2 linked regions of the Callithrix jacchus genome follow. The protein of the gene in region 1 interacts with the protein of each later gene in a pairwise test. Links are inferred from orthologs where the notes say so. Each region holds a gene or a part of one and is shown on either strand. Other genes may lie near its edges.

Region 1 (10,265 bases):
ACCCATGCTGGAGTGTAGATACATGATCTCGACTCACAGCAACCTCTACCTCCTGAGTTCAAGCAATTCTTTTTTTTTTTTTTGAGTTCAAGCAATTCTCCTGCCTCAGCCTCCTGAGTGGCTGGGATCACAGGCATGCACCAGCACACCTGGCTAATTTTTGTTTTATTTATTTATTTATTTATGAGAAGGGGTTTCACCATGTTGGCTAGGATGGTCTTGATCTCTTGACCTCGTGATCTGCCCGCCTTGGCCTCCCAAAGTGCGGGGATTATAGGCATGAGCCACTGTGCGCAGCCCAATTTTTTTATTTTTAGTAGATGGGGTTTTACATGTTGGCCAGGCTGGTCTGTTATTTCCGACCTCAGGTGATCCACCTGCCTTGGCCTCCCAAATTGGTGGGATTACATCCTTGATCTTGTTGCTCTGAAAAGTAGTAGTGCTGGTTGTTGTGTTTTTGCTTAGGGGAAGGCCACCAACTGTCTAATGTTTGGTTACCTCTGGCCAGGCATTCTGTCTGTTCTCACTCAGCACAGTGTGTCCAGGGGAAGCTTTGTTTTCATTTATCCAGCTTTATAACTGGTATGCCTTGTCACTTCTGGGGAAGAAATGAAGCCGTTATCACTTCAGGTGTTTCTCTCCTTATCCCTCTCTGAGGTATTCTGGGTTCCATCTTCCAAAGTGTGTTTTGTTTCAATGACTTTATACCTGCTGCTCTAATTCAGAATCCTCCATTTTGTTTGACAAGTTACCGTGGGGTTATGTTTAAGTTTATGCTGTTCCTTCCATTGTGTTTCCAAAAATCTTTCCTTAGACTTTTCCAGATTTTTCTGTTTCCTCAGAACACATTCTCCGGTTGTTTCTGGGTTAGTTTCTGTTATCTTAGTTTTCCTTCCTCTACTTTGGAGTTTTTTAAAATTGTTGTTAGTTTATCACAAATGAATCAAACTGAAACTCACTTCCCAAGGGACTTAGCAGACTTAACCCCTTAGGTACTTTTAGGGCTGCCTCTAAGTGTACAGTGTGATGGTTTAATATAAACACAATAGGAATTTGTTTCTTGCTTACAGACCCCTACATGGTTCCAGCTGATGGGGAGGCTGCCCAGAGGTGGCTTAGTTCGCCCTTGCTGGCTGCATACAGAAGCGGAAGAGGAGAGACATGGCGGAGCCCCTGGGTGTGATGTTTTCATGGGCCAGGCTAGAAGTTGCAAATGTCACCTCTGCTGATCTTTCAAAGATTAGAATCTGGGCATAGGGCACAGGGTCACCTTTAGGTTTAGTCTAGTACACCTAGTCTAGTTTTTTTTTTTTTTTTGAAACAGTCTTGCTTTGTGGCCCAGGCTGGAGTGCAGTGGCACGATCTCAGCTCACTACAACCTCTGCCTCCCAGGTTCAAGTGATTCTCCCACCTCAGCCTCCCAAGTAGCTGGGATTACAGGCTCCTGCCACTACGCGCAGCTATTTTTTTGTATTTTTAGTAGAGATGGGGTTTTGCTGTTTGGGCAGCCTGGTCTTGAATTCCTGACCTCAGGTGATACGCTTGCCTTGGCCTCCCAAAGTGCTAGGATTATAGGCGGGAGCCACCGCGCCTGGCCACACTTAGTCTATTTTTATACCCTTGACTGTATACTTAGTCTAGTTCTATACCTGGAGGAAGAATAAATGGGTTTGTTTGCTGAGCGGTGGTTCAAGATCTCTACCCATCCTGCCTCCCAGCATAGAGCCAGGCTGCTCCGGCTGGAAAACCCTGTCCGAACATCCCAGGGACTGTCCCCCCAGCTGGGCAGTCCTGTGTTCCTGGTTCTGCTCTTGCCCAGCATTCTCTAAATGTCACAGCCCCAAATTTCATTCTCATGGGGAGGCTGACTGGTCCCTTACCCTGTGGAGTTGGACTCCAAGCTGTCGGTGTCCGCTGTGGGTTCCAGATCACCCAGTAGCTGACAACTGCTCCCCGCTTGGGTGTGCCCATTCCATTTCTGACCTTCAGAGGTGCGCTTCTGGGCACCCCCATACCTCTGCATCCACAGAGATGTTGTTGCCGCCGTGTGGTTGAGAGACTCCAGGCGAGAAGGTGGGCCCAGGCTGGGAACAGGGCTGCAATTTTTTTCTTTTGCTCCCAAACTGTGGCCTTGGAATGCATCCAGGGATTCTGCATCAGCTTTGGGGGCATGGCCCTCTCAGAACAAGGAAGAGCAAGGAAGCTTTAGCTTTGGCGAGGCTCTCCCTGCCTTCAGACCTGCCACTGTGAGTTGCTCAAGAGCTCTGCTCTGGCTCTGCATAAACCTTGTTGACAGATGCTGACCCAGACCCCCCCCAGGCAGAAACCTTTCCCTTCTCCTTCCTCCTTCCGTAACATCCAGGAGCCAGCATATTAAGTCCTGTCCCGTTCCAGCCTGAAGGAGAGATTTCTCAGTCTACTTCCTCCCTGGCCCACAAGTAAAACTTTAGTTCATTCAGGGAGTGCTTATTACACCCCATATCCAGACATCAGCCTTGTGCCATTCTGTGTGCCCTTGTTCCTTTCTAGAAGTTTAGCATCTTCCCACTGCAAGCATTTCTAGATGGAGGAGAGGGGTTCCTAGTATGGGGACCCACAGAAGGACTGTCCTTCCCTCCTTCATTGTCTACGTGGACAGTGGAAGAAGCCCAGCCTGACCTGCCTTGTTCCTGTTTTCTGGGTCAGCAGGGAAAGCCTTTCATAGAGTAGCCACCATGCCATCCTGAGGAAGGCCCTAGGTCAGAAGCTTCTGTGCTTCTTTGTATGCCGGGTGAGGCACAGTGGCGCTCACACTGCTTTGTAGAAATTGTTGGCATGCAAGAGAGAGTCATGTGGAGACCCCAAAGCCACTAGCTGGGCGTGCTGTGCTTCAGATGCTGGTGGTGGGTGAGCACCCTGGCCCCAGCACCTCCCCGATGCGTTCATCAACAGCTGTACAGTGTCTGGCGGGCCTGCAGGGTTGCTTGGCAATAGTGGAAGCTCTGATTTTTTTAAACTTTTTTTTCTGGCTGGGCACAGTGGCTCACACCTATAATCCTAGCGTTTTCGAAGGCCAAGGCGGGCGGATCACTTGAGGTCAGGAGTTTGAGACCGGCCAGGCCAACATAGTAAAATCCCGTCTCTACTGAAAATACAAAAATTAGCCGGATGTGGTGGCACACACCTATTATTCCAGCTACTTTGGAGGCTGAGGCAAAATCATCACTTGAACCCGGGAGGCAGAGGTTGTGGTGAGCCAAGATCATGCCACTGCACTCCAGCCTGGGTGACAGAGTGACTCTGTCTCAAAAACAAACAAACAAAAAAAACCAAAAAACGGTTTTTTGTGTTTTCTGTTCTACTAACACAAGTAATACAGGTTGAATGTTCCTTATCGTAAATGCCTGGGACCAGAAGTGTTTGGATTTCTGATTTTTTCAGATTTTGGAATATTTGCATATATATAATATAATGAGACCTTGGGAATGAGTCCCAACTGTAAATACAAGATCCGATATGTTTATAGATGCCTTATCCACATAGCCTGGGAGTGATTTTATATGCTATCTGGTAATTTGGGCATGAGCCAGGGTTTTGACTGTGAGCTGTCCCATAAGGTCAGGTGTGAAATTTTCCACTTGTGGTATGCACTCAAAAAGTTTCAGGTTTTGGAGCCTTTTGGATTAGAGACTTCGTAAGTTTAATCTGGAAAAACTTAAGAGTCTGGCACAGTGGCTCATGCCTGTTATGCCAGCACTCTGGGAGGCCGAGGCACGCAAATTGCTTGAGACTAGGAGTTTGAGACCAGCCTGGGCAATATGGTGAAACCCTGCCTCTACCAAAAATACAAAAATTAGCCAGGAGTAGTGGCACATACCTGTAGTCCCAGCTAGTTGGGAGGCTGAGGTGGGAGCATCGGCTGAGCCTGTAGGTCCAGGCTGTGAGTCATGGTTGAGCCACTGCCCTCCAGCCTGGGCAATGGGGAGCAAGACTGGGAGCTGCCTTTTTGTGACATGTGATGAATCCTCAGAGAAAAAGAGAGAACACGTGCATGGTGGGGCAGGGCCCAGCGTGCTGGAGTCTCTGGGTTTTCTTTCTAGAGGCCCCTGCAGTCTGCTGAGCGCAGTCGGTTACATCAGGCTTCACCTGGATCCCACTGGAATTTTTCCAGTTATCCCCTAGTCCTCGCCTTGCTAAGCCCTAATGTCTTAATAACCTCAAACCTCAGTACCTGGGCTGAGGAAAGCCTGAGGGGCTCCTGGAGAGAGACCTGTGCCCAAGGACAGGAACATCCCCACTTCAGCCAACCCAAAGGCCAGTCTGGACATGTGAACTCAACCAGCTAAAAGCAATATGACTGATTGATGAGAATCACCAAAGCACTTGCTAGAGTTTCAGCTTCTCCCTGGGCCAAAGTGAAATTTGATGTAGGCAGTAAATGTGCTCTGTGCCGGCCCTGTATTTAGAAGGCTGTGCTGTGTCATCCTGCTCTGTAAATGGCCAGGAGGACCCCCACACCTTCTCAAGGCACATTACCTGTCTAAAAAGGCGAGGGGGCAAGAGCACAAAATGCCCAGCTACTCACTGAAGTGCATGTGTATAACTTAGTGCCTTCTGTCCTTACACAATAGGACCTTTCTTGCTATCGCTCAGTGAAGAGGAAACAGGTTCAGAGAAGTTAACTCACTGCCAAGGTCACACAGATAATGGTGTCCGCTCGGAATAGCGGTGTCCGAGCCCCAGGCAGCAGATGTCTGGCCCCAGCCTTTGGCCGCTGCAGTGTTAAACAGCACAGCAGGTGTGGAAGTCTGATGCTGAGTCCTGGGTACCTGGACTCGGAGCAGAAGCTGGCTGCAGAGGGAAGAGGCTGGGCAGTTGTGGATGTGCCTGTCATCTGCTGGGAGGGCACCCATGGACAGTCCCCAGCCTGAGGAACCTCATGGAAGAGTTAGAGTTGCTCCAGGCTGAATGGCGGGAGTTGTCTGATCTGGCAGCGTCTCTGCTGGGACTTCAGGGAGCTGCTGCTAGGGTGGAAACTCTCACGCTTTCTCCACCTTCCCTTTCCAGTTCCCTGACATCGTGGAGTTCTGTGAGGCCATGGCCAACGCCGGGAAGACAGTAATTGTGGCTGCACTGGACGGGACCTTCCAGAGGAAGGTAAGGTGTCTGATCCAGGTCTGGAGCGTGATTCCAGGAGGGGAGGGGGCTTCTGGGTGGCCAGGGCCCAGCCACTGTAGGGGCACAGTTGAGCTGCTCAGACCAGTCCTTGCCTGAGCCTAGGGACTCCCTGGTCTATGCAGACCAGGTGCCATCTGTTGCGGCAGGTGGTTTGAATTGGCAAGGAGACAAAGCCAGGCATGGTGCTCTGGGGGTTGGGGGAGGACTGAGGTCAGAGCAAACTTTCCTGGCTTCAGTGCTTATGAATCAAAGGGTTTAAAAGAAAACCCCGCCTGGGAAGGTAGCCGAGCACCCACTGTCTTTCCATGGGAGTGCAGGCATTTGGGACCATCCTGAACCTGGTGCCGCTGGCCGAGAGCGTGGTGAAGCTGACCGCAGTATGCATGGAGTGCTTCCGGGAAGCCGCCTACACCAAGAGGCTTGGCACCGAAAAGGAGGTACCTCCACCTGTCTTCCCTGCGGGCTGGTGGGGTGGGGGCGTGGCTCTGTCTCCTTCCTGTCCCGGCCCTTCACCCATCCCCTGTCCCTGCGGCTAGGTCGAAGTGATTGGAGGAGCAGACAAGTATCACTCTGTGTGTCGCCTCTGCTACTTCAAGAAGGCCTCAGGCCAGCCTGCCGGGCTGGACAACAAAGAGAACTGCCCCGTGCCAGGAAAGCCAGGGGAGGCTGCGGCTGCCAGGAAGCTCTTTGCCCCGCAGCAGATTCTGCAATGTAGCTCCACCAACTGAGGGGCCTGAAAGGGCTGCTCACTCTCTTCCAGCCGCTGCCGCCTAGCGGACACTGCTCTCCACGCTACCTGCCTGCTCCAGGAGGGTGACCACATCTTGGCCTTTGGGAAGTCTCCTTTGTGCAGCTGCCCCACCTGCCACGTGCTCTCTCCTCTCCTGCCCACCGGCCTGCTTAGCTTCCCTCTTGGCTGCTGGGACGGTCGCCCAGGCTGGACCTGGCCCTGCCTGGTGACCTAGGATCTGGCATACTCCCCCTGCTTGGGGTGAGGGACAGCCACACACTGTTGACATCAGCCTGCTTCTTCCCCTCTGGCTTTCACTGCTGAGTTTCTGTTCTCCCTGGGAAGCCTGCACCAGCATCTTTAAGCCTTGGGCCATAGAGGCTTAGGCCCCTCTGCCTGGGATAGGCCCCTGCCCTCCCTGAGGATGGCCTGGACTCATGCCCTCTTGCTTCCTTTTGGGCTCAAAGCCCCTCCTACCTCTGGTGATGGTTTCCACAGGAACGACAGCATCTTTCACATGGGTGGCACCAGCCTTGCTGGGACTTGGATTGTAGGTGCTTGTCTCTTCGTGGGAAGAGGGCAGGGTCAACGTCTCTGCTGTAGTGTATGAAATTAACTAACTTAAAATTCACTGGTTGGTAGACGCTCATTTCTCTTTAAGCTGGGTTTCCCCGGGTCTCATGGACAGTGCCAACTGATGTGGGTGGGGATTTTCTTCCAGGTCTTTGTTTTGTTTTGAGATAGGTTCTCTGTCACCCAGGCTGGAGTACAGTGGTGCAGTCTCGGCTCACTGCAGCCTCTGCTTTCCCAGTTCAAGTGATTCTCCCCACTCAGCCTCCCTAGTAGGCAGGATTACACGTGTGTGCCACCACACCTGGTGAATTTCTGTATTTTCAGTAGAGACGGGGTTTCACCATGTTGACCAAGCTGGTCTTGAACTTCTGATCTCAAGTGATCTGCCTGTCTCAGCTTCCCAAAGTGCTGGTATTACAGGCGTGAGGCACCGGGCCTGGCCCCCAGATCTTTCTGTAGTAATACTGATCTCATAACCACAGCCGGTTAACTGAGAAATGATCGTGGGGCGTGTCCTAAGGGGAACATCATCTGCCTTCCTGTCTGGGCCAGTGTCAGGACAAAAATGGGTGCACAGGGGAGCCCAGGGCCCAGCTGGAAGGAAGGATGGGGGCGCATACCTGCCCGCTGGGACTTCCAGGTCAGTTTTTGTTTGTGAAACACACGCTGGGTAGTTCAGGAATCAAGACACCTCTCAGCTGTGCCTCAGAGATGGGCTGTTGGCAGCTCACTTGGACTCAGGCATTGCTGGGGTGAGGTGTGCCCTAGGCAGGCAGGGTCACCGCTGCCAGGGCCTCCCCAGCCTCCTCCTCCCCTTTGCTAGTGATGTGTCCCAAGCCAAAGCCATCGGGTGAGGTTGGGAGCAGTGCTGTTACTTTGTATTGGGGATTTTTAAACATTCGGGACTTGCCATTGACAACTCTGTCATTGCTCAAAAGAGGAAGCCAGGAGTTGCTTTAGGGCCCTGACCTCTTCCAGAGATGGGTCTTATCTCCAAGGGGCGGCTGGAAGGCCAAGCCCACTCCCTGCTGTGTCCCAGGAAGGGTCCAGAGGTGCTGAGCCCTGGAGGAAGGCAGAAATGTGGCTTACCCATGGTACTCCTCTTTCAGTGCTAAGAAAGGGCTGAGAGGGAAGGGGCATTCAGTGGGCAACTCCCAGGTACCCCCACCCCAACACTAGGAAGGGAACAGCAGGACCCTGGCACCGAAGGCCAGAAAAATCTTGTAAACAAGATGAGCACAGTTGCTATTTTAAGATCTGGATGAAAGGCTTGTGCGGAATGCGACCCCAGATGGAAAGGGGGCCAGCCAGGCAAGCTGGAGGGGGTGTACTGCCACTGCCTTGTGTAAAACACAAGTTTCAGAAAGCCAGCCCTTAAGGGTGTACCCAGAGTGGAGTCCCTTCCTCCGACCCCTAGGCTCTGGCTCAACCAATGGCAATGGAGACTGAGTGAGAAAACATTTATTCCTTCTCCAAACAGCATCCCAGGGCCGGGCGTCACCCCCAAGGCTTTATAATACATTCGGCACAGAGTGGGAGCCATGGGGCATGGGACACCCCTGCCCTCCCCATGCTTCCTAAGTAACAACTGCAGAATATTTACATAAAGCTGGGTGTTGTCAGGCAAAGCCCTTCCCTGCTGCCGGGGTGGGAGCAAGGAGGAAGTGCTGTGGGCACCAGCCCTGCCCCCACACCATGGGGGCCAGAGGCCACTGGCCCAGGGTGGTGGCCCCCAGATCATACAGCAGTAGGCCTAGTGGGAGCAAACCTGAGTGAGGACACAGGAGCCTGGTCCAACCCCGATGCACAGGGTAGGTATAAGGCCCCCCAAGAGTCTTTGGCAGAGAACACAGATAACAGTGGCTCCCACAGCCTGACCTGGGCTGGGGGAAAGCTGAGGCACTGGTAAGTAGCATGTGGGTGCCTGCTGGCTTCTAGCCACTCCAGGCAGGGCTGGGGTCATTAAAAGCAAGGAGAAACACTAGCTAAAAACCCTTTCCTAAAAGTGAGTGACTGACTGAAGCCCTGGGCACAGGCACTTGGGGTGTGGCTCTGCCAGCCCCCCAGGCAGGGAGGTTTCTTAGCTGTGTGTCAGCTGCACAGGATGTGACAGGCAAAGGAGAGGGGCTGGCAGCTCCAGGAGGCTCTTAAGAAAGTTCGGGGCAGAGTCTCTGCCCCGCTTCCCCCCTGACCTCTCAGTACACAGGGGGCGGCTGGTAGCCCTCGGTGCTCTCCACATTCTGGGTGAAGGGTGGCTGTTGGTAGTTGTCCACAGATGCACTTGGGTAGGAGGCATAGGCAGTGCTGGGGTCTGGGGTGGGGTCAACGTAGTTCTGGATGAAGTCATCTACGCCAGCCTTGTAGCGCTGGTAGGCCAGGAAGGCCAGTGCACCCTGCAGGGGGAGCACATGGGTATAGGTGGGTAGGGGACCCCACCTTCCACCACCCTTTACCCAAGACCCCAAGAACCAGCCCCTGGCCTACCTACCCAGGAGAAGATGGAAAAGAAGCTGAAGGTGATGGCCGCCCTCGCAGAGCCGGCCCCCACCAGCACATCCGCCGGGTTGGTGACCGCCCACTGGTTGGTGAGAAAGCAGAAGCCAACAAACCACAGGAAGGTCCAGAGAGCTGGGGAGGACGGGTAGGGCGTCAGTTCCACAGAAGGGGAGGGGCTTTCTAGGACTCTGGGAGGGGACACTGGCAGGTAGGGCAGGGCCTAGGCAGGAACCTTAGGGGTGCCTCCACAACATAGAGGGGAGGATTTGGAAGCACAGCTGGGATCCACCTCCAAAGCCCTCCTGTACTGGGGCCTCAGCACAGTGGGTCCCAGCAGACAGACCAGAGGACAAACAGGGAAGAGGCAAAGCCCATCTGTTTGGGTGTGCTGGGGCTCCACTCAGCTTCTAGCTACTGCAGGCAGGGCTGGGCTATTCAAGCGAGGAGAAACACTAGCTGGAAACCCTTTCCTCAAAATGCCCTGGGTGAGCTGCTCCCTGTCCCTCCCAGAGAGGCCAAGCCCCCACTCCAGGGAGCCTCAGAGTTAATGCCTCCCCGTCCTAGTCACCTCCCAAGATCAGATGGAGGTGCTACAGGCAGATACCTGAGAAGAGCAGGTCACCAATGACCAGGTACTTGCGGTCAGTGGCGCTGCTGATCTGGGGGAAATACACATCGACCACCAAGAAGAAGGCCGAGGCCAGGAAGGCCAGCACCCCGATGGCACTGCCGTAGCGGCAGGCATCCTCGTTGTGGTTAAACACACAGTACATCTGCTTAGACTCGTGGGTGTTGCTGTAGCCCTCGCCATAGATGCAGGAGAACACGATCAAGGCGAAGACCTGCAGGAGGGGAGGATCCGTTAGGGCTGGGGGCACACACGGCGGGGACCCTGACGGGGTGTTCAGACGCTGGCCTCCCACCACTGCTGTCCCCTTTTGGTTTTTCTGAGATGGAGTCTCCCTCTTGTTGCCCATGCTGGAGTGTGATGGTGTGATTTTGGCTCACTGCAATCTCCACCTCCTGGGTTCAAGCAGTTCTGCCTCAGCCTCCAGAGTAGCTGGGATTATAGATGCCCACCACCATGCCTTTTTTTTTTTTTTTTTTTTTTTGAGACGGAGTTTCACTCTTGTTGCCCAGTTTGGAGTGCATGGCATGATCTCGGCTCACTGCAACCTCTGTCTCCCAGGTTCAAGCAATGTTCCTCCCTTAGCCTCCCAAGTAGCTGGGAATACAGCCATGTGCCACCACGCCAAGCTAATTTTGTATTTTTGGTAAAGATGGCGTTTTACCATGTTGGTCAGGCTGG
Region 2 (10,265 bases), on another chromosome or scaffold:
AGACACCCTCAGACTGTAGGGGATTAGAAATTAGGCTGGGGGCCTGTTCCCCAATGTCTGCGGGCATCTATGTGAAGGCTCACTCACCATCCTTGGAATCTGGAGGCTGCAGCCCACCCTTGTCCTCACTGCTGCCCCCAGGGGCAGGGGCTTCCAATTCACTGGGACCCAGGTGTTCAGAGTGGAGGAGTTCCTCTGAGGGGGACATGCAGAAAGGTGGCAGAGATTGTGAGCACTGGGGTGAGTGAAGGGCACCCTAACAATAGAGCAATTTGGAGATCATGCAGACAGCAGAGTCAGCCCCGAGTGTGGGGTAGCCAGAAGTGCGATCTGAGAAAGTGGGGAGCTGAATGGAGGCACAGCAGGCAGGAAGGATAGAGGTTGAAGTTTCAAGATTATGGCTAGCTTTTTTTTTTTTTGAGACAGAGTTTTGTTCTTGTTGCCCAGGCTGGTGTGCAATGGCGTGATCTCAGCTCACTGCAACCTCTGCCTCCCGGGTTCCAGCAATTCTCCTGCCTCAGCCTCCTGAGTAGCTGGGACTGCAGGTGCCTGCCACCATGCCTGGCTATTTTTTGTATTTTTAGTAGAGATGGGGGTTTCACCACGTTGGCCAGGCTGGTCTCGAATTCCTAACCTCAAGTGATCCACCTGCCTCGGCCTCCTAAAGTGCTGGGATTATAGGCAGGAGCACCATGCCCAGCTCAAGATTATAGCTTTTCTAAATACTAGGAGAATCAGGGTTATGTGTCAGATATCCAGGAGGAAACCACAACAGATCTGGGGGCTGTGGTAGGTCATACTTTCTGGTATGAATATAGGTTCCTTCCCTTGAATCTGGACTGGGTTTTTAACTTGCTTTAACCAATAGAATGTGGGCCCAAGCCTTAAGACCTGGCAACTTCCCCTTTGATGTCTTAGAGAGCATGAACCACCACGTAGAAATTCCAGCTGTGCTGCTGGTGAGACCATATGAAGAGGCTCCATGGAGAAGAGAGGCCCCGAGCCTCCTTGGAGAGAGAGAGAGGCCCATTTGTGCTAGACTCCCAGCCCCTAGACGATCTGCTAGCTAAATACAGCCGCATGCTTTACCACTGGCAAGACCACCAGAAGAACCACTCTACTGAGCCCAGACCACTGGCAGAATCATGAACAAAGAAAAATGGTTGTTGATTTTCTCTCCTAAGTTCTGGGCTGGTTTGTTACAGGGGAATAACTGAAACTGGGGGATCCACACTTAGGAATCAAGATCTGCCCTCAGAGATCGGGAATGGGGGCTGGATAATAGGCACTCACGGATCTGGGGCCGCAGCTCCTGAGCCAGGTGGGGGTGCTGATCAAGCAGGCCCAGGCTCTGATTCACCCTCTCCTCAATCACTTGAAGGTGGGTCTGCACCTGTGGGCGAGTGGACATGAAGGATGAGCTGGGGATGCAGGCTGGAGATGAGGAAACTGAGGCAGTATGAAGGAGGAATTCAATGGCAGCAGAGGAAAAGCATCACATGTAAGGGACAGTGTGGGGAACGCTCCCGTGTGAGACCCCTAGTAAATTGGGTCTCACCATGTGGTGAGTTTGAGCCTAGACACAAGAGTCTCCAGTTGAAGGAAGTCGAGCTAAGGAAAGCAGGATCTAAAAGAGGCTTTAGGTTAAAGATCAACTACCGCAGACAATCACTAGATGGCCATGCAGTCTTGAGGTGCACCGTGACCTAATGGTTAGCAGTCATGTGTAGCAGTATGTTCACTTTTACAAGCATATTCTTCTTTGTTCTGTCAAGACAGTAGTGACTGACTGTAATAGTTTAAAAGAAACTTCTGTGTAGCGAGATAATGAATCTGATCGTTTATTAAGTAGATAACAAGACCCACCTGCTGGATTCCATTGTGTATCTGATCTTTCTACTGTAACCACCTGATTTATGTTGTAACTTGTAGTTTCACTGTAAAACTTTCTGTTCCCCTTGATCTCACGGAACAATGTATTGAACTGACGTAAGCAAAGTTTCAAGAATGTATATACACTGACCCTGAGCTAAATAAAGTTGTTGGTGAAGCATTGACTTCTCAACCCTCCAGACCCTGGCTGTCTATCATCTTTATCTTCCATGTTTGGGGGGCACGTCTGCCAGGAACTCTTGTCCAGCAAGAGGGTCCAACCTGGATAGCGGGGTGCATGGAAGATAAAGATACATTGTTCCGTGAGATCAAGGGGAACAGAAAGTTTTACAGTGAAACTACAAGTTACAACATAAATCAGGTGGTTACAGTAGAAAGATCAGATACACAATGGAATCCAGCAGGTGGGTCTTGTTATCTACTTAATAAACGATCAGATTCATTATCTCACTACACAGAAGGTTCTTTTAAACTATTACAGTCAGTCACTACTGTCTTGACAGAACAAAGAAGAATATGCTTGTAAAAGTGAACATACTGCTACATGACTGCTAACCATTAGGTCACGGTGCACCTCAAGACTGCATGGCCATCTAGTGATTGTCTGCGGTAGTTGATCTTTAACCTAAAGCCTCTTTTAGATCCTGCTTTCCTTAGCTCGACTTCCTCCAACTGGAGACTCTGTGTCTGGGCTCAAACTCACCGCATGGTGAGACCCAATTTACTAGGGGTCTCACACGGGAGCATTCCCCACAGGACAGGAAGTATGGTACCAGGGTCAGGAAATGGGCCATAGGAGAAGGAAATTGAAGAATGAAGTCCAAGGAACAGAAAGTGGGGTTTGAGGGGATTCTAGAGACAGGGATTGAGGATTGGAGGGTCATATAGAAATTATGTGGTTCAAGGCAAGATTTGCAGTTCAAGAGCAAGAAAACATCCAGAAAAGGGGAATTTGAATCTGAGCACACAGAACAGGGGTCCCAGGGAAAACAAGTGGGGTTATGGAGAAAGGAGACCAAGGAACAGTTCCTTCAAGGAACAAGAAAGGGATTCTTGGCTGGGCACGGTAGCTCACGCCTGTAATCCCAGCACTTTGGGAGGCAGAGGCAGTGGGATCACCTGTAAGACAGGAGTTCAAGACCAGCCTGAGCAACATGGCAAAACCTTGTCTCTACTAAGTATATTGGATTGGAAATTATTGTGGTTTCTGGCCAGGCGTGGTGGCTCATGCCTGTAATCCTAGCACTTTGGGAGGCTAAGGGTGGATCACCTGAGGTCAGGTTCGAGACCAACATGGCCAACATGGTGAAACCCCGTTCTACTAAAAATACAAAACTCAGCCAGATGTGGTGGCATGCTCCTGTAATCTCAGCTACTCAGGAGGCTGAGGCAGGAGAATCACTTGAACCTGGGAGGTGGAGGTTGCAGTGAGCTGAGATCCCACCACTGAACTCCAGCCTGGGCAACACAGCAAGACTTTGTCTCAAAACAAAAAAAAAATTAGCTGGGTGTGGTAGTGGGCTCTTGTAATCTCAGCTACTGGAGAGGCTGAGGCAGGAGAATTGCTTGAACCCGAGAGGCAGAGGCTGAGGTGAGCAGAGATTGAGCCATTGCATTCCAGCCTGGGCAACAGAGTGAGACTGTCTCAAAAAAAAAAAAAAAGTTATTGCCGTTTTTGCTATTACTTTCAATAGCAAAAACTGCAATAACTTTTGCACCAACCCAATACAAAAGTTAGCTGGGTGTGGTGGTGAGCACCTGCAATCCCAGCTACTCGGGAGGCTGAAGCAGGAGAATTGCTTGAACCTAAGAGGCGAAGGTTGCAGTGAACAGAGATCGCGAACTACACTCCAGCCCGGGCAACAGAGTGAGACCCTGCCTCAAACAATAACAACAAAAAAAAGGATTCTGGGAAAGGCAGTGAAAATCCAAGGAACAGAATGTAGGATCAAGGGGAAAGTAGGAATCCAGCCGACAAGAAATAGGGGTCAAAGGCACAGCATGTCAGGGGCCATGTTTCGGGGTCAGGAAGCAGAGCTGAGGGACTGGGAAGAGGCAGAGAAGTGACATTCAGGGGATAGGAAGGGGTCCAAGAGACAGAAAGAGGGTCTGAGGGACAAAAGCAGAGAGCCTGAGGTGCTGGGGTCTGAGGATAGCTGCGTGTGCGGGAGCTGGAAGGATGTGAGCACCTGGAAGCGCATCTGCTGCGCCTTCTCTGGATCCACGGCCGCCACGTGCTGGTAGTGGCGCAGCGTGTGCCTCTGCTCCTTCTGTTCCGCACGCAGGTAGCGCCGCAGGGCCATCAGGACGCGCTCCGCCTGAGGAAGGGACACAGGCTGCCCAGGTCTGCCCTCACCCTTCTCACCCTCTGCTCTCTGCCCCCACGGTCCCCACACCTGAGGCGGATCTCCCTGCAGGGCTGCCAGGAAGCCCTCCAAGGCGGCCCGCCGCTGGTCGTTGATAAGGGCGATGACACGGGTGGCATGAGTCTCCACCAGGCGCTGTCGCTCACCAGACACCTGCTCCTCCAGGGTCTGCAGAATGGACTGGAAGTGCTGGGGAGCAGGTAGGGCACAGGGTAAGGAGAGGAGAAGATGGATCAAAGGCTGGTCAAAGACAGCCTGGAAAGGCAGGGTTACATGGGGTTGGGGGTCGTTCCAGGGGTCCAGGCCTGGGCAGAACCAAAGGGTACGGATTGGAAGAGGTAGGCTCCAGGGCCAGGTAGAGTGGAGGTGGGACTAGGCCCAGTGGGAGCCAATCTGAGGGTGTAAACTGTAAGATGGAGTGGGAACAATCTGGGAGCAGAACTGGCCAATGTTAAGGTGAAAGGGACAAAGCCTTGCAGGGCTCCGGGCTGGTCAGGGTCAATTGGAGGAGGAGAGCAGTGTCAGGTCAGATGGTGGCTTAAGAGGGCAGAGCCCCATGTAGACAGGCTGTACCTAAATGACACAATGGGGTGGAACCAAAAGCTAATGGGGTTAACATGAGTGGGGTCTCTATGGGGTAGGTCAGGTTGAGAGAGGTGAGACAAGTAGGCAGAGCCAGAAGGGGTGGGGCCTGTTAGAGACATGAATACATCAAAGAGAGACCAAGAAGGCTCTGGCTGTATCTGCAGGGGCCCCAGCTTGGGACAGGACTCCAGAGCCCGCCCCAAGAGGCAAGTCAAGTGCAGATGGGCCAAACATGGCCAATTGGAGGAGGAGAGCAGTGTCAGGTCAGATGGTGGCTTAAGAGGGGCAGAGCCACATGTAGGCATGGGGCCAGGAAGGGCAGAGATAAGTGGGAAGGGGTGGAACTGGATGGGCAGGGCATGGCCAGAACCACGTGAAGCTGAGCGTGCTCCAGGTGGGGGACAGTCATGAGTAGGAGCCCCTGGGGTTGTCCTACCTCATTCAGGGCCTGTCTGTCAGCTTTAGGTAGGTTCTTGGACTGGTTGTCGGCCATGGCCCATTCACGCATCACCTGCGTGGGGAGTGGGGCTTCAGGATCCCAGAATCCACACTGATCCACCTGGTGAGTTCCCCAACCCCTCTTGAAGAGTTTTAGAGGCCCCAGATCCCTTAAGTCTCACTGTTCTTGGGTTCCCAAGAGGGAAGATCTAGGAGTTTAAAGTGAAAGAGAGGCTGGGCATGGTGGCTCATGCCTGTAATCCCAGCACTTTGGGAGACCCATCCAAGACAGATGGATCTCCTGAAGTCAGGAGTTTAAAACCAGCCTGGCCAACATGGCGAAACCCCGTCTCTACTAAAAATACAAAAACTAGCTGGGCATGGTGGTGGGCGCCTGTAGTCCCAGCTACTTGGGAGGCTGAGGCAGGAGAATCACTTGAACCCAGGAGGCAAAGGTTGCAGTGAGCCGAGATCATGCCATTGCACTCCAGCTTGGGCAACAAGAGTGAAACTCCAACTCAAAAAACAAAAACAAAACAAAAAATAAAGTGAAAGAGTGCCATAGACCAGAGTCTCCATATAATCTGATGGCATCTCAGTGGGATTCTAGATGGGCCATGGGTTTCTGGCTATGTTAGGGGGTGATGTTGAGGGCTCACAGTCGAAGGGGCTTAGGGAGCCTTTGCAAGTGCTATCAATGTGTTCTGGAATAGTTTCCTGATATTTAGGGAGCTCTGTACTGTAGCGGGTCCTGGGTCCCCCGGTATCATCACCTCATTAATCTGGCGCATCCTACGCTCCTCCAGGTCCATCTTGGCCCTCAGGAACCCCTCGTGCTCGCTGATTTCCCCAGGCATGCCGAAGTAAATATCCACACCGTCTGTGGGCCTCGGGGTGGGAGTGACTACAAGACCAGGGATCAGGAGGTCAGTCTGCTGCCCACCTCCAGGTCACCTTTTCTACCTAGAACCACGTTTCCTGGAGTGCACCGAAGACCATCATGTGTCCAGTTTGGCCACTGCTGCTGCCTGGCGTTTGGGAGATGTAGTTCTGGACTGGGCCTGTTCTTGCAAAGCTTAGGAATCTTTTACACCATCTTGTAAGCTTTCCTGAAATGATCCTCAGGACCTACCCAATGGCCCCTCTACTCCCAAGTACGCCCAGGTTAGCCCTTCTTCCTCTGTTTTATCCAAAGCTACTCCCATCTTTTCCCCTCAGTTGGGTTTTTCCCCCATAGGTCCCTCCCAAAGACACGCCCCAGCAAGACTCTGCCAGATCTTTCTCCCTCCATGGCAGAAAAGCCTGGGGATTCAGAGACTGTCTCACCTTTGCTGACCACTGCAAGGGTATGGGAGCTTGGGGGTGGCACCCTTTCCTCCTCCTCTTCCTCTTCAGCCTGCGGAGGCTCCACGAAGTAATCATCTACTGGCTGTGGGAAGGATTCCTCCTCTTCCTCATCCTCAGCCCCCTCTGCTTTGCCCCCCGGGGGCCAGGACCGGGTAGAGGGGTCACTGAGGGAGCAGGAGAGGACCCAGACAGTAAGAACTCAGGCCCAGGCTCCCAGACTGCCATCCCCTTCCTCAGGAACCTTGGGAAGGGCATGGAGGGTCCCTTCCACTCACCCAACTGCTGTCCCAGATGGGTCAGGGGTCCCTGGAGGGGGACAGCACACATATTCCACACCACGGAACCGATCCGAGCCACAGGGCAAAAGCATACCTGAGCCATGCAGGATGAGGCCCTGGGAGCTGCAGGCCTGTGGGAAGAGTGGGCCCAGATGCCAGGATTGTGGGGTATGGGGTGTGTAGATGGGGAGCCAGGCTGCCTGGATCTAGGGGGTCGATGAGGCTGGGAGCCTGGATTCCTGGTTCTGGAGGAAGGGGTTGAGGGGATGAAATTCCTAGATCCCAGTGGGAAGAGGATGCTGGTGGCCCAGACTCCTTGGTTCTGGTGGAGGAGGGTGTTAGGGGCCCGGGCTTCTGGGTTCTAGCGGGGAGGGGATGGGTGGGCCAAGGTCCTGACCTCCTGTGCCTCCTGATGCCTCCGTGTTGAACTCTCACATTCGTCCATGCGCTCCTGGTGCAAGAACCGGCAGCCTTCGGGCACCAGCAGAGCCTCGCTCACAAATTCACCAGCTGGAAGCATGACACACCAGGGTGAGACCCTCCCACAGCCACCAACCCCACCCTCCTCAGAATCCAGAAATTTTATACTCAGAGGCTTCTCTGCCCCACTTAGGACACAAGCACCCAGCCCCTTAATGTGGGCCTGAGAGAGGGGCTCAGAACCTAGCCTCTCGGAAACTCCCATCTCAGTGTACCCCGGCCCACCCCAACCCCTAGCCACATGGACTCACGCAGGCAGCGGAAGGGTACAACCTGGTGGTGGGGGTGGGCGCAGTGGCCGCTCCGGGCACCCCCGCACCAGTGCTCCATGGGAATGGCCTGAGTAGCCTGCTCCACACGTGCAATCTGCAGCTCCGGGTACATCTGGGGGGATCAGGTGGGAACAATCAGCCCCCTGCCCCGCCCCTGCCAGGCACCCCTCTCCACTGGCCAGGTCCTTTTTTTTTTTTTTTGAGAGGGAGTTTTTGCTTTTGTCACCCAGGTTGGAGTGCAATGGTGTGATCTCGGCTCACTGCAACTTCCACCTCCCAGGTTCAAGCGATTCTCCTGCCTCAGCCTCCGGCGTAGCTGGGATTACAGGCAAGCACCACCATGCCCGGCAAATTTTTGCATTTTTAGTAGAGATGAGTTTTCTCCATGTTGGCCAGGCTGTTCTCAAACTCCTGACCTCAGGTGATCCGCCCGCCTCAGCCTTCCAAAGCGCTGCGATTACAGGAGTGAGCCACCGCGCCTGGCCAGGTCCCTTTTCAAGGCTATAATATTCATGAGAACTTCGCCTCCCTAGGCCCTGCCTCTCCATAGCACCAGCCTTAGATAGCCAAGCCCCTCGTGCCCATTGGCCACGCCCACTAGCAGTTTTCCCTTGAAAGTCCCGTCATCTTTAAGCCCCATCCCTTTTCCTGTGCTGTTTCTTTCCGAAGGTCGATCTAAGCCCACCTCTCTGGTCACTCCTCCCCGCAGTCAGGTTCGTCTCCCCCAAAGGTCTCACCCTCTTTTGGGCCCCTCTTTTTATCTGTTCCGCCTCTCCAAAACTCTTCCCTTTACAAAGTCGAGGCTTTTCATGGCCACGCCTCCCAGCTCTCCGCGCTCTCATTGGGCTCCACCTCTTTTCTTTCCCCTTCTTGTTGATCTTTAAGGACTCTTTCTCTTAGCTCCGCCACTCCTTTCGCCACTCCGCCCTACACCTCTACTCTTTACGAAGACCACCAGATTGCTAAACCCCACTTCTCTAGCCATCTCGCGGTTCTCCTCCTTTCCTGACTTAGTATCTCAAAACAGGTTCCCTGCCCTGGCGTAGCTGAGCCTCTATTGGCCACGCCCCCCAGCCTCCACGCCTTAGATCGTGCAGCACCTTGGACCACGCCTTTTGCAAGTCTAGCTTTCTATAGGCGGCCCCGCCCCGTTTGGGGCCCGCTTTCCGATAGCCCTGCTCCTCCCGCTCAGCCCCGCCCACCTGTCTGCAGTACTCCAGCACGCGCTGCGGGTCCCGGAGACAGCGTCGAGAACGCTGTGGGTCTGGTTCCCAGCGGCCGGTGCGCAGGTCCCGGTGAAGGGTTGGGCGTCCGCATAGTCCGGCCACCTGGGCCGACCCCGGGGCCTGGATGGAAGTGGAGGGGACAGTGAGGGCCCGGGGGACGTTGGTAAGAGGGTCCTCTGGTTCTTTGCTCCCTAGGACCGAGACCTCCAGCACCAGCCACCTCCCCCAAGCACCGCACACCCGCCTCCATGGAGGCACCGTTCCCTGGGAAACAGCTCCCGTAGGGAGGGGGCGCCCCAGCTCTCCCGTTGCTATGGCTACCCGGGTCCTCCGGGATTCTCTCGGCCTTGTTGCCGCGGAGACAGACTCCGCCCCCACCCCAGCGCAGTCGCGCTGGAGCCCGAAGGGGTTAAACCTGAATCGCGGAGGAGGAGGCCAGAACCCAGGCGTTCTGGCCCCTCCTCCCTCCATCCCCTGCTCAGGCTCCGGTTGCAGGGTGCAAAGCTGACAAGGCCTGGCTTCAGGGGCCTGCAGTCCTGGACACCAGGTCCTTGAGGACTGGGGAGCTACATCTGGTTGGGATGGGTGGTGACTGGAGGACTGGACTCCTGGGTCCTGGGAGGCTGCGAGGGCCCCCATATGGGTTCAGAGGATACAAGGGGTCTGGATTTTTGGATCTAAGTGCCTCACTGCTTGGTGGGTCCTATGTCCAGGCGGGAGGGGGCTGGGGCCGAGTCACCTGGGTCTGGAGAGGGGGCTGGACTTCTGGGACCAAGGGCTCTAAATAAAGCAGCTCCTATGCTCGGGATGGGAGGGGGCTGGGACGTCAGATGATGAGGGAGCTGGGGCCTGGAGCCCTGGGTTCATAAATGCGTTTGGGGGGGCCTGGGGGCTGACCACTTGGCTGGAAAGACCGCGCTTTCGGCCCTGGACCTGTCCGCGCCGGCGTCCAGAGGCCCGGTCCCGCCCCTTCCCCCATTCCCCACGACCCGGCCCGGCCTCACCTCGGCCGCGCCGGGGCTCCCACCGGCCAGGCTCCCGACGGCGGGCTGCGCGCGCAGAAGCAGCAGCAATAGTGGCAGCAGCAGCGGCAGCGGCAGCTGGCCCCGGCGGCGACCCAGACAGCGAACAGCGGGGCTGGCTGGCCCCATGTCCCGGCCCTTGCGCCCTCACGTCCCCTGCACTCCCGCCCGGCCCGGCCCCAGCGGTGACAGGAGCTCCCAGAGCCACCGCCGCCACTTCCTCCTCCCGCCGCCCCCAGGCTGCGCCGGCGCCGCCAGCCCCGCCCCGCGCCGGCCCCGCCTTCCTGGCCAGGACAATAGCGTGGCGGCTCCGCGCAGAGTGGAGCAGCTCGGGAACCCCAGGCGGGAGCCTGCGCCA

Evidence for each region. The genes of interacting proteins can lie anywhere in the genome.
Region 2: the proteins of TK1 (region 1) and APLP1 interact in a two-hybrid assay, tested with the Homo sapiens proteins (2 studies listed by BioGRID and IntAct). The link is inferred for Callithrix jacchus from reciprocal best matches to the Homo sapiens genes TK1 and APLP1.

What each region holds. Positions count from the first base shown.
Region 1 is NC_133506.1:133,954,670-133,964,934, reverse strand, and holds the end of TK1 (thymidine kinase, cytosolic), read left to right. Parts: intron 1-5,046; coding exon 5,047-5,136; intron 5,137-5,474; coding exon 5,475-5,594; intron 5,595-5,693; coding exon 5,694-5,885; 3' UTR 5,886-6,518; downstream 6,519-10,265. Other genes in the region: SYNGR2 (synaptogyrin-2), read right to left, coding at 8,656-8,853, 8,949-9,088, 9,561-9,798. UniProt on the Homo sapiens protein: Cell-cycle-regulated enzyme of importance in nucleotide metabolism. Catalyzes the first enzymatic step in the salvage pathway converting thymidine into thymidine monophosphate.
Region 2 is NC_133523.1:32,051,120-32,061,384, reverse strand, and holds the start of APLP1 (amyloid beta precursor like protein 1), read right to left. Parts: upstream 10,098-10,265; 5' UTR 10,037-10,097; coding exon 9,890-10,036; intron 9,006-9,889; coding exon 8,862-9,005; intron 7,772-8,861; coding exon 7,639-7,771; intron 7,418-7,638; coding exon 7,305-7,417; intron 7,039-7,304; coding exon 6,905-7,038; intron 6,794-6,904; coding exon 6,609-6,793; intron 6,187-6,608; coding exon 6,056-6,186; intron 5,356-6,055; coding exon 5,281-5,355; intron 4,449-5,280; coding exon 4,290-4,448; intron 4,212-4,289; coding exon 4,083-4,211; intron 1,394-4,082; coding exon 1,294-1,393; intron 196-1,293; coding exon 88-195; intron 1-87. UniProt on the Homo sapiens protein: May play a role in postsynaptic function. The C-terminal gamma-secretase processed fragment, ALID1, activates transcription activation through APBB1 (Fe65) binding. Couples to JIP signal transduction through C-terminal binding.